Zea mays: one gene and its partners. The protein of the gene in region 3 interacts with the protein of the main gene of each other region in a pairwise test. Links are inferred from orthologs where the notes say so. Each region holds a gene or a part of one and is shown on either strand. Other genes may lie near its edges. The genes, in order: Plastid division protein CDP1, chloroplastic; chitin synthase homolog 1; protein ACCUMULATION AND REPLICATION OF CHLOROPLASTS 3.

Region 1 (4,145 bases), on a different chromosome or scaffold from region 3:
CATCCGGCCGACCGGAGCTGAGCGAGCGAGAGGCGGAGCGCGGCCGGAAGGCGGGCCCCGCGGGGACCCGAGGAGAACGGCGTGTGGATAGAGGCTGCGATGGTGGACGCCGTGGTGCTCGGCGCGGACGACATGAGCGGAGCGGAGGCAGCGCGCGGGGAGGAGAGGAGAGGAATCTTCTCGAAGGTGTTGCCAGTGGACAGTACGCCACCAGTTCTGTTCCGCGGCCGAGATTTGTGGGCGAGGGGCTGATTTTTGTTTTGTTTTTCTCCCGTAACATAACTCGTCTGAGGCGCGGAATTCGGCCCGGCCCAGAAAAATGAAATTGCCAAGGAAACGGGACGCGAGCAGCCCATTCGACCTATTCGTTTGGAAGCAACGGTCTTTCCGGAATTCAGGCTTTGGAATGAGCCGGCGGTGGACTTTTCGTCCAACGAAATCTTCTCGATATGAGATTTTTCTCTGAGAAACAATCACAAATGATTCTCGACAGAGAAAATGACATCTTTGGTGTGCATCTTGTTAACTTGTTTCTTTCTGCGGATGAAAGGGCAGCTCAGTGCTTGCTAATTGCTGTGTTTGAGCTGTTCTAAATTTTCTGAACCATGATGTATGAACTTCCAAAATGACCATACTACATTATATCATATCATATATTATTTTAAAAATGAAATCACTGGGATAAAAAAATAGAGAAAAAAAAGAAAGGTTAGTTTGAAATATGCCACTCTAATTTTAAAAAGTTGAAAACTAATTTATTTTCATATCCTGCTTTGTCATAGAGTAAAACCTCAAATAGCAGTCAAAATTAAATCATGGTTACAGTTGATTTCCCTGTAATTTGAATATTTACACTTGTACATATCCACACTAAAAAAACTATAGGAACTCCCTACAGTAACTGCTTCAAAAAAATAAATTTTATATCACTCAATTGCATCAAAATAAACTAACCATCTATTTTTTTTTAAAAAAAATTGCAATTAATCCAAAAGAAGAGATGCTGGCTGCATGTCACAGTCAACACCTGAACTGTCTCGTCCAGCATAAACTACCATGCCACGTGTACAAAGCGCGCATGGACCAAGTCCACGGAGAGAGCAAGATCCATCGGTCCGCAACCCCTCCCTCCGGCGTCCGGCTTCGCCATCACGACGCCTCCTCCCTCCCTCCTCTCCTCTTCACTGACGCTTTCTCCCTCCCGTCCTTGCTTTATTCCACCCCCGCAAAAACCCCCGACACCCCGAAAAGCTCACCCCGCACATGGAGAGCTCCGTCTAGGGTTGGTTCCCGGGAGCGCGTCCATGGTGATGCCGACTGTGGCCTCCGCGGCCGCAGCGGCGCTTCACCCGGCGATCTCGACGCGGCGCGCGGGGGTCGTCGGGAACGGCATTGCGTCCGCCGCGGCGGCGGGTGGACGCCTGGCCGGCGGCGGGCGAGGGGCGGTCGTGCGTGCCAGGGTGGCGGAGGCCGCGCCGGTGGCGGCCGAGGGCGGCAGGTTGGAGGCGCCTCCCGCTGCACCCATGGTGGAGATCCCCGTCACCTGCTATCAGGTGAATGGTTGGAGTCGCCTGGTCTGTTTTATCGACTGCAATTTCGAAAACGGCGCTCACCTTCTGTTGTCTGATCGCCGCCGCTTGATCTCGGCGGCGCCATGTCAATTAATTACCTGGGTTGCAGATTGAATCGGCGTTTTCATATAACGAATCGAATTCAATGTGCGCATCCGTAATTGTATGCGCTTCCCTCCCATTTTGAGTAAAAAATATGTGTGACCGCGTTCTGATTTTTCGTCTGATCAGTTCACAATCGATTGGACCATTTGTCCTTTTTAAAAACTTGTTGGTTGACATGTTTAAGCTTAACAATGACCGTGTAGATGCTAGGCGTTACCGAGAAGGCTGAGAAAGATGAAATCGTGAAGGCCGCGATGGAGTTGAAAAATGCTGGGATAGAAGATGGATACACAGCTGAGGTCTCCACTTTCAGACAGGTTCCTGATTAGTTTCTGCAACTATATCTATTTATGTACCCCATGTTTTGTTTTGTGAGGGAATGCAATAATCCTGATGTTAATCATTTGCGTGTTGCCTTTTGTCAGGCTCTCCTAGTAGATGTCAGAGATAAACTTCTGTTCGAACAAGATTATGCAGGAAACATAAAAGAGAAGGTTCCACCTAGGTCCTCTCTTCATATACCTTGGAGCTGGTTGCCTGCTGCTCTGTGTATTTTGCAGGAGGTAATGCATCACACAGACATTTCTCATCAAAATGTCTGTTGGAACCAGTAACACGCTGCTATGAAGTTAATGCTGGTTTTGTTTGGTTGAGACTTTTCACTTTATTTGGCTATGATCAGTGAGTTAGTTGTTATTACAGCGACTATCTTTAATTTTCTCATTGCACCAAATTAAGATATATTTTGTGGAGTACTATCTGTATGTGGTTTAAATCGTACATGTGTCATGTTCTTCTTGGTAATATACAATTCACGTGTCAGGTATTATATTTAATACGCCAAATTATTTAATATAACTTAACAGGAATAAGAGCAGAACTCTGTTAACTTAAATGTCCCTAAGCTTTGAAATATTTATGAAAGGGCGTAGCCAGGTACCTTTAGGATCATGTTTTTCAGTGTGTAAATAATAACTACTGTTCTTTCTTCAGATCAGGACATCAGGCAAGACAGTGTAAAGTGCCAAAATTGTCACTATTGAAAATTTTCCATGCTGAAATGCACTGTTAGCTTTGAAAATCCCAGCACGAAGGATGTCTTAGCATCCTAATTTTCGAAGTTAAACATGCATTTTTTGCTTGCCATTATGTATTGCAATACTGGTTTATTCGCTCTTCATCCATGTATGATGTTTCAGTCTTGTTTCAGGTTGGAGAAGAGAAGCTAGTTTTGGAAATTGGTCAGGCGGCTCTACGACGCCCTGATTCTAAACCTTATGTTCACGATGTGCTTCTTGCAATGGCATTAGCAGAAGTAAGAATAACATAAGGATCTTTTCCATATTTTCTTTAACAGCTGTTTGATGAATTGTTAGGAACTTCTCTCACATTTAGATGGTTCCATGCATTTCGTTGTAGTGCTCTATAGCAAAAGCCAGCTTTGAGAAGAGTAAAGTGTCCCTTGGCTTTGAGGCTCTGGCACGCGCTCAATATCTTTTGAGGAGAAAACCATCTTTGGAGAAGATGCCCATTCTTGAACAGGTGTGATGTTATTACTTCTACATGAACAAGTTCTTCTGAATAGTAAATACAAAATCATGCCATAACTTATTCATTGGTGGTCCAGATTGAAGAATCACTTGAAGAGCTTGCGCCTGCTTGCACATTGGAGCTTCTAAGCTTGCCTCAGACACTTGAAAATTCTGAACGCAGGCGAGGTGCTATTGCAGCTCTCTGTGAACTGCTTAGACAGGGCCTTGATGTTGAATCATCTTGTAGAGTCCATGACTGGCCTTGTTTCTTGGGTCAAGCAATGGACAAACTATTAGCCAATGAAATTGTGGATCTTCTTACTTGGGATACTTTGGCTACAACTCGTAAAAATAAAAGATCGTTGGAGTCCCAGAGCCAGCGGGTTGTAGTTGACTTCAATTGCTTTTACATGGCGATGCTTGCTCACCTTGCATTTGGATTTACAACCCGCCAGACTGAGTTGGTACCCTCTTTTTCTCACTCGCTTGGCAACCTGTAGAAGTTGCTATCTCTTTGCATTATTTTTAATTTGTTTTACATCTGTGCAGATCAAGAAAGCTAAAACCATCTGTGAATGTTTAGTTGCATCTGAGAGCACAGACCTAAAATTTGAGGAATCTTTCTGCTCATATCTTCTTGGAGAGGTTATAAACTTATCTCAATCTGACTAAATTAGCTTTAGTTCCTTGCATTACTAGAACTAATGATTAGCTCTCAGGAAACTGGAACCACAGTATTTGAAAAGCTTCAGCAGCTTCAAAGTACTGGAAGTTCAAATTCAAAGAACTATGGATTGGATAAAAAGAAAGACAGCAGTGGCAAGGTTACTGTCAACCAATCACTGGTATGTTGCATCTGTTCAATTGGAGCAAATAAGCTTTACTATTCTACATTACTTGCTCAGAAGTCTCATGCAGACAGTTTTTAACCAGGAAC
Region 2 (4,181 bases), on a different chromosome or scaffold from region 3:
CAACCTAAGTACAAACACACACACACATGTCGCACTCGAACATGCACTCGACACAACACAACACAACACAACGTTGTCACTACAGGACAAATCCAGCACTCCCCGAAGCAGAAAGACCGCGACCCAAAGCAAGCTCAAGCTCCCCTCTTCGGTCTCCACCGCTCGCCAACCTAGAGATATACCTCCCTTCCTACCAAAGCTTTGTCTCTAGAAGACTTCGTTGGCTCTTCCCTCGACGCTAGTGGTTGTCAGTGGTGATGGCTGGCTAGCGGGGGTGGTGGTGTTGCTGGAATGTCCACCGCGATGGTGACTGCCGCCCGCCTTCGCATGCCACTGCCAAACGGAGCCCACTACTCGGCCTTCTCGAGCCGACACCTCTTTGATTGCCACCGCCACTAACAAGCGACCACACGTTTGGTGCCCCATGGATGCCTTGTCCCACCCTGTTGTCGTCATCGACAACGACACCACGGTTGCTCATGAGTTGGAAGTGAAAAGGATTCTACAACTTTTTTGGTGTTAGGGTAAGAATTAGTGGCATGCTAAAATAATGGAGAGTGAAAATAAGATCGAATCAAAGTTATTGATAAGTGTTTCGGTCCAAAAAAACAAATGGGCTGTAAATAGATTTGATTTTTTTTTGAAAAACATTGAAATTTTTAAATCCTTAAACCAAACACGCAAGTAGTTGGCCTGACCAATCTAACTGTGGAGAGATTCTGAATATCGTGAAAATTACGTTTGGAGGAAGATAAAAAAGTCTATAGAGTTTATGATTTTGAAAGTGACAGTTTACTACTATCGCAACAAGTCGGTCGATTATATATTCACATTGATTTTAGACAGTTTTGGCTAAAGTGATTCTTATAGAAGTTAGACTCTCTTTAGTTTGAGGTGATTAAAATTTAATGACTAGACTTTAGTCACTTTTAGTCTTAAAAAAATAAATAGTGACTAAAGTAAGGTGACTAAACTTGGGTTAGAGCATGTACAACCTAGACACTGCTGCACGGTACTCCAAGTATAAGGCACAAATAAAACACAACATAATACAGTGGTCATGTCTAAAACATGTGTCTTACCATATTCATTGTAACAATCAGAACATTCAATAAATTAAAGTGATCAATCAGCTAGTCTCCTGTCTCAAACATAGAGCTAAAACACTGTGTCTTCGTCAAGATACATGTCTTGAGTTTTTTACATTCATCCACTAGACACACTCTGAGACACAATTTAAGACACCCAACCTTACACAGCCAAATCGCACAAGCGAGCTGGTGGCACCAATGCAGCCGTTCCAACTTCCTTCCAAATTCCAACGAGAGTCCAGTCTACCAGCCTCCAACACTGAGGACAAAGCGAAAAGAAAAAGGGGAAAAGGGGCTGGTGCGCAAAACCCTAGCACAGTCGCATCCATCATGGCGATGTCCATCTTCGGCGGCTGCGTCGGCGGCGACTCCGGTGCGCTCATCGCGCCGTCCGCGTCCTCGCTCCGCCCGCCGTTCCGTCTTGTCGCTGGTCCCAAGGTTCGGACTCCTGCTCGGCTGCTCCCCGTCCCATAAACCCTAGCATTTATTTAGTTTATCCTGCGTGTTTGAGGTGGAATTAGTACGAGTATGCGGCTTTCGATTGGCTCGGGAGGCCCAGTTTTCTGCGGGGAGATGCTCCGGTAGGCTGCTGGAAGTCCGCCGTGCGGTTGTTACTCTTCGGCGTTTGTGCATGCCTCTGAAGGTCCGATGGGTGGGTGAGGCTGCCTCGTGTCAGTCTGACGAATGTGCGAAGTGCATTTTTATGTTGATTGGTAGGCTAAATGTTCAAGTGCATCTTAGGAACTGGGAATGGAGGAATTAATTTGACAAGACAAAATAGAGATTTAGTGCCCACATTGGTGTGAGGTAGGCCCATGGAACACTTGCATTTCTGGAAAACGTTAAGGCCCTCTTTGAGTTTGCTTGCCCCAAACGTTTATTAGCCCCAAATGTTGAAGCCCCAAGCAAAATAATAAATGTTTAAGGCAAGCAAAATAATGACCTGTTGCGACCTTTCACTTCAAGCCGTCTGTCTGTTTTCGTTTGGTTCGTCCGGGGTTTGCCATGGGAAGTCGGAGCCACCGGCTGCTTTTCAATCTAGCTTGGAAGCGATGACTCATGGCAGTTATGTGTGCTCTTACGCGTCGTGTTGGTGGGTTAGCCCTTCGTGTGTTCAGTGTTTGCTCCACGTTGGGCTACCTTCTTGTATTTGTTAGATTTTGGGCCCGGTTTTTCCTTAAAACAGGGTTAATTCCATTCTTAATTGAGAGGCGGACCATTACGTTCAAAAAAAGGTTTGCCAAACCCTACCGGAGGGGAGAAGCTCTTTTTTTTTGTACTAGGTTGGTGAAGCCACCTAAATGTGGCTGCTCCAGATTCTGTCTTCTTAGATTAGTTGTTTGCAAAGAAGCCCGACCAAACATGGCCTAAGGATTACCTGTACTTTTAGATCTGCATTTTTCCTAGATTTGACATTTTATTATTTTGCTTGCCCCAACATTCTTGGGATGTACGTTTTTTGGATTCTAAATATCTGGGTTGATATGTAAGCATCATGTCATAGAAAAGAGGTGTCGTGTACTGATTGTCCTACCATGAATAAGTGCCCTGTATTTGATTTTTAGGTGAAAGGATCTTCTCGTCATGTTTTTATGTGTTGGCTTATATGTGCAGCTTTTGTATCCCATTTGATGGTTCTGCCCAAACTCAAAGTCAACCACTTTGTCTCCTTTCGTATTGGTCTTCTCCATAGCAATCAGTTATCAGTATATGTGATGTGTAGGCTAATTGCTAATGTATTGTAAAAAAATATAGAGTTTAGTCTGACAAAGTACCTGTAATTTTAAATTGGCAGTGGTTTGATTCCTATATTTCACATGGGTTCCCTAAGCTTGTGAGGTCGGTGTGTTTGTTATAGTGCTAGCAATATTAGCCTTGCTTAATAATACCAGACTGTCTGATTTCCATGTCTAGGTTTGCTTGGTACTGGCCGATTTTTGGGCTGTTCTTTATTTTCCTTCCCTTTGTTCTGCCTCCATCTCCTATAGTATGGTTATCTCGTTTCATACTTTGCAAATATCAGTATTACTGACACTATCCAAACCGGATGATTCCTTCTTTTCTTTCATTGACATGTTTTTCATAGTACAGTACTACATGGTAGATCTAGAGGGTATGTTGTTGGATAGGTAGTTAGAAAAGAGGAAAATCTGTATGTATAATATTGTGTATCATGTTCCTTTCAATTTCTTTGATATAAACCTCAAGTTAAGCATCGTTTGTTTTCAGTGCTGAAATGAGAAATTGCAACATGAGAGTAGACTGGCTTTGTCATTAAGATTTATAAGAGAACTGAGGCTAACTTTGTGCATATATGATGCATTCACTCGATCAAATGTGGTTTGTTTCCGCCCTGTAGTTATGTTATCATTGCTCTATTAGGTGTCTTTCTGTTCATTCATTCGATCAAATGTGGTTTGTTTCATGTGCATATTTCTTCAGTTTACAGAAGGCCTGAATGTATGCTTACTCATGCAATAACTCAACATACATGTGTGTGTATTTAAACAACTAAGCTAGTGTGGTTGTGCCACTCGCTGAACTGTTACAGTATACGGATCTGACGTTATTCAAATTACTGCAAGTCTCAGTATGGTGAGTTTAGGATTGGCAGTTGGATCTTACTGGGATTGCACTAGCTTTTGTACCATGATGTGCTCTTAGCATGTTTGCAATGAATATACTGGAATTCATACCATTTTAGTTGTGTCATGCTACAGGGCCATTTTTGTACTTTTCCTCATGGAGCATCTAGCAATCACAGCCGGCTATGTGTTCAACATCAAAGGTGTTCTCGCAGCTCCACCCAGAACTATGCTCTTTCTAGGAAGGATTTTTCTCCTATAACTCAAGATGTGGAAGGCTTCCTTCACAATGTTGTTAACATGGGTTTTCTTGACCGTCTGAAATTAGCGTGGAAGATAATGTTTTCTGCACCAACCACAAAGGATACCTCCAATGCAAACATCGCAAAACAGAGGCTTAAGATGATCCTGTTCTCCGACAGGTGTGAAGTCAGTGATGAGGCAAAGAAAAAGATCGTGGAGAACATCATTGAGGCACTGTCTGAGTTTGTTGAGATAGAATCAA
Region 3 (3,630 bases):
CCTATAATAGGACTGATATTTCACTAGTTGTGCATTATGCTCCCGAGTCCCGGTTCCTAGATCATAAGTTTGTATAGGCCCTGGTGTGCACACACATGTCCCACCAAAGGTTGAGATGGTGATAAGAAGAAAATGGATGCTGCTTAACATGCTAAACTTAAGTTTTACAATGAGATGGTGAACGTGAAACTATTCGTTATGACAAGCTAAGTGGGTTTTGTCCTTTGAGTAATATTAAACTCTTTGGTGGTGTGGATATTGATGAATGATGATTGGCATATAGTCATTGTATTGATTTATTGTGAAATCTTGTCGTGTAGTTCTGTTTTTTCTCCATGCAATACTAGCATCACAATATTATTGTAATTAGCCATATTCAAGAACAGTGGCTTGTAGTCTAAATAATTACGGTTTCATCTATACTGTCACAGTTATTGAAGCTGATTCATTGCTTGAGACGGAAGTGGAAACTCTTGCCGAAGCTTTGGAAAGTGCCAATAATGCTGTCCTGTCAACTATTAGCATGATATCTATCATGATGTCTGTGAGTTTTAAATCCTTCTACGCTGTGCTATGATATGAAATAATGCACTCTACTTTTTAATTCCATTTTTTCTCTAAATATCAGGGTTATAATAAGATGTTCTGGAGTTCCCTTAATGCACAAATTAAGGAAGTTGGTCCTGAGGAAGTAGCCAAGGTTATAAAGATATTTCCTTACTACTAAGTTCCATCATCTTGACATTAGCTTTTATTAAATGATTCTTACAGTCTACAACTTAACAGCTACTCAGAAGCTATGGGGAAGCTAGAGTTGGCTTTGGTGCTGGTTATAACATCCAGTCAGCAATTAAGCAGGCTGTCTTTCACTGTCCATTTCTTCGTGGTGGCATAAAGGTGGAATTGATTGTCTTCTTTTTTTGTAACTTTTGATGTGTTTATTACTTTATTCTATATTCTATACGAAATGTTAAAAAGGAAAGGGAATTTTGTTTATGTTTTGGCATCTTGACTTAAACGGTGCCTGTGCAAAAAGGCCAAAATCTGCTATACATATGCATCAATGCAACTTGTATATCTGCGGAAATTTGTAGCCATGAAATATTTGTGCTGCTCGCTTATATTTTGACTGCACTGATTTGTTTACATATTATTTTTGTGTAGGACTTGAACAATGTGGTTTTCCTCTCCCTTACAACTGCTCGGGTGTTGTCTGAAAGTGACTTGATCTCTATTCTGCACATCTTCCGTCGAGTTACTGGGTTCACCAAAGATATTATATTTTCTAGAAATTCTGAATCTGATTTAGAGCCAAAACTGATAGTAGTTTCTCTTCTAACTATCCGGTAAGTTATCGCATAGCAGCTGATACAGAAAACTCAAATGATCAGCCTGGTTTTTAATGAACCTTTTCATTTATCATTCCTTAATCATACTCCACGACTTTTTTCTCGAACAGGTAGGAGAGCCCGATTTTTTTTTTCAATTTAGCCATTTTTTCTATAAAAAAATCATGTTTCGGGCCCTGGACGAAGTATTCCCGTTTTTGGACCCTCTTGCTCAGCGCCATAGCATATGGCGCCGAGTTAACACTGCTCGGCGCCACAGGCCATGGCGCCAAGATCTCGGCCGCGCCAGCGAAGTCCTCAGATGCCAGGGAGGATGAGACCTTGGCGCCATGGCCTGTGGCGCCAAGCAGTGTTACCTCGGCACTATGTGCTATGGCGCTGAGCAAGAGGGTTCAAAAACGCTATTAAATCATCCAGGGATTAAATGTGATTTTTTTTTGAAAAAAGGCTAAAATGCAAAAAAAAAAACGACTGCGTGTCATTTCGCTAATAGATAGAAAACGGTCCAATTACATGTCGAATCCGTGGCTTGGTTAGTGAATTTAGTCCACGACTTTAATGTATGTTTTATATCATCTCGCATTTTGTTAAGTAAATCATCTAAGATAAGGATAATTAAAAAGGGCTAAATCTTTGAGTTGTATTGCATGTGTTGATTATCTTATTGATATATGAATAACAAACTGATCATGTGATCTTGAGATAAATGTACATCAGCATGTTTTTTAGTAAAACACTTTGAGCAGACATGAGGATGAGTTTCTTACCCCTTGTATGACATGGTAGTATATTCAGCTATTCCCTTCCCATTTCTTTCACATTCTTGCTTTGAGACTCATCTATTTTGCTGGGTAGTGTTATATACTTTCTCACAGTTCACATAACTACTATGGTGTATGGTGCAATCTTTATCACCGTTAGTGAAGTCTTTATAGTTGTGGTATCTGATGCTTTTTCCACTTTTCATGGTTAAAAGATTGTCCTGCCATTTTATTGGAGAAAGACCTTCAATTTCTCATTCTTTTCTTGATAAGGGTATATTTGAAAGAAACATTAATTGATTACTTTTTTCATAAGTTGTTACTTTCTATATTTAAACAGATATGTGCAAAAATAGTGTTACTCTCATTCTTCCTGATGTTGTCTCATGTTGTTACGGATTTTCAGCTTTTCTATGTGATTATGGTGTTAATAAATATCACTATAGACCATGGGTTTTAAAGCGGTATGGCGAGACAAGACGTTGGACTGCCGCCTGGACGCCTAGGCGAGGTAGACGAGCAAGGCGCCTAGGCGTTGGACCACCGCCTGGACGCCTAGGCGACGCCTTTAGAACAGTGCTAATGTGCTATAGACTGTAGTCTAGCAGTATGTAGTCTAAAAAAATAGTTGTGCAAAAGATACTACATTTTACTCAACTTGAATTTGTGCTAGGTCAGATATACTGTTTTGTTTTAAAATTAACTTATGTAGTTTTTCTCTACTCACCCATCGGTGACAATTGCTGATATTAGTGGTTGATTTTGTGCTGCAATTTTTTTTTACAGAAACCACTATGACGGAAGTGTTTCCACAGTACAAGAGGGATTCCTTTCAAGTTTGGCCTTGCATTTTCCTTTTATATCTTCTCTTATGGGAGGAGATACCCCTGAGCAGAAACAAATTAGGTCGAAGCATTCCTTTAATCGACTGCCTGACAACAGATTTAATTCTGTAGAACAAGACGAATTCTCGCGAGTTTCTAATCGGTCATCTGATGCTACTGTTTCCAAATCATTTCCTGAAGAATTTGAGGATTTGGAATCTGTGAGGTAACTTACAGACTTGGCTTCTTTCCTTTTGTCCCAGGAAAGCTAGTTCCTTTTTTTTAAAAAAAAATAACTATTGTTATGACCAAGCATGTGCACTGCAATTCTGTCTTAGGAATCAGAGAATAAAGCCAGAATCTCTGGAAGGTGATCTGGCAGTTACTGGAGAAATGAACAAAGATGATGACAACGGTAAAATTGTTTGTGTGCACCACGTCCTTTATTTTGTTTGCTTGTGCTTTTCTAACTTAAGTTTCATTGACAGGGCATTTAGTTTCACAGCAGGAACATCGCTTCTTGAGCAACTCCCCTGGTTTTGATATTGCACAATCGTGGGCTAAGCAGCGTGTGATGGCAAGTGGAAGCAGTAAAAATGATGAGCTTGATGCTGTCGCTCTTCCTGTTGGTGTAAAACTTAGCAAAGTTCAGTCTGATCATTCTCCAGATATGCAGACTGAAACTCTTGGTGCTGA

Evidence for each region.
Region 1: the proteins of protein ACCUMULATION AND REPLICATION OF CHLOROPLASTS 3 (region 3) and Plastid division protein CDP1, chloroplastic interact in binary tests that used the Arabidopsis thaliana proteins (3 or more experiments, as listed by UniProt). The link is inferred for Zea mays from reciprocal best matches to the Arabidopsis thaliana genes ARC3 and PARC6.
Region 2: the proteins of protein ACCUMULATION AND REPLICATION OF CHLOROPLASTS 3 (region 3) and chitin synthase homolog 1 interact in binary tests that used the Arabidopsis thaliana proteins (3 or more experiments, as listed by UniProt). The link is inferred for Zea mays from reciprocal best matches to the Arabidopsis thaliana genes ARC3 and MINE1.

The regions. Positions count from the first base shown.
Region 1 is NC_050097.1:1,989,068-1,993,212, forward strand, and holds the start of Plastid division protein CDP1, chloroplastic, read left to right. Parts: upstream 1-1,233; 5' UTR 1,234-1,304; coding exon 1,305-1,553; intron 1,554-1,879; coding exon 1,880-1,993; intron 1,994-2,101; coding exon 2,102-2,239; intron 2,240-2,886; coding exon 2,887-2,991; intron 2,992-3,095; coding exon 3,096-3,218; intron 3,219-3,303; coding exon 3,304-3,672; intron 3,673-3,757; coding exon 3,758-3,853; intron 3,854-3,927; coding exon 3,928-4,053; intron 4,054-4,141; coding exon 4,142-4,145. Other genes in the region: Thioredoxin X, chloroplastic, read right to left, coding at 1-134. UniProt on the Arabidopsis thaliana protein: Component of the plastid division machinery required for PDV1 localization to constriction sites. Involved in chloroplast division site placement. Required for the proper formation of FtsZ rings at the division site in nongreen plastids (e.g. etioplasts).
Region 2 is NC_050105.1:18,841,194-18,845,374, forward strand, and holds the start of chitin synthase homolog 1, read left to right. Parts: upstream 1-1,368; 5' UTR 1,369-1,421; coding exon 1,422-1,529; intron 1,530-3,811; coding exon 3,812-4,181. UniProt on the Arabidopsis thaliana protein: Acts as a topological specificity factor during plastid division and specify plastid constriction sites (such as the Z-ring) in a MCD1-dependent manner. Especially involved in epidermal plastids division in a FTSZ1-dependent manner.
Region 3 is NC_050102.1:152,658,858-152,662,487, forward strand, and holds part of protein ACCUMULATION AND REPLICATION OF CHLOROPLASTS 3, read left to right. Parts: intron 1-431; coding exon 432-544; intron 545-628; coding exon 629-700; intron 701-786; coding exon 787-897; intron 898-1,164; coding exon 1,165-1,346; intron 1,347-2,896; coding exon 2,897-3,160; intron 3,161-3,272; coding exon 3,273-3,349; intron 3,350-3,422; coding exon 3,423-3,630. UniProt on the Arabidopsis thaliana protein: Together with MIND1 and MCD1, regulates FtsZ ring positioning in chloroplasts in an ARC6-dependent manner. Z-ring accessory protein involved in the initiation of plastid division and division site placement (might functionally replace bacterial MinC).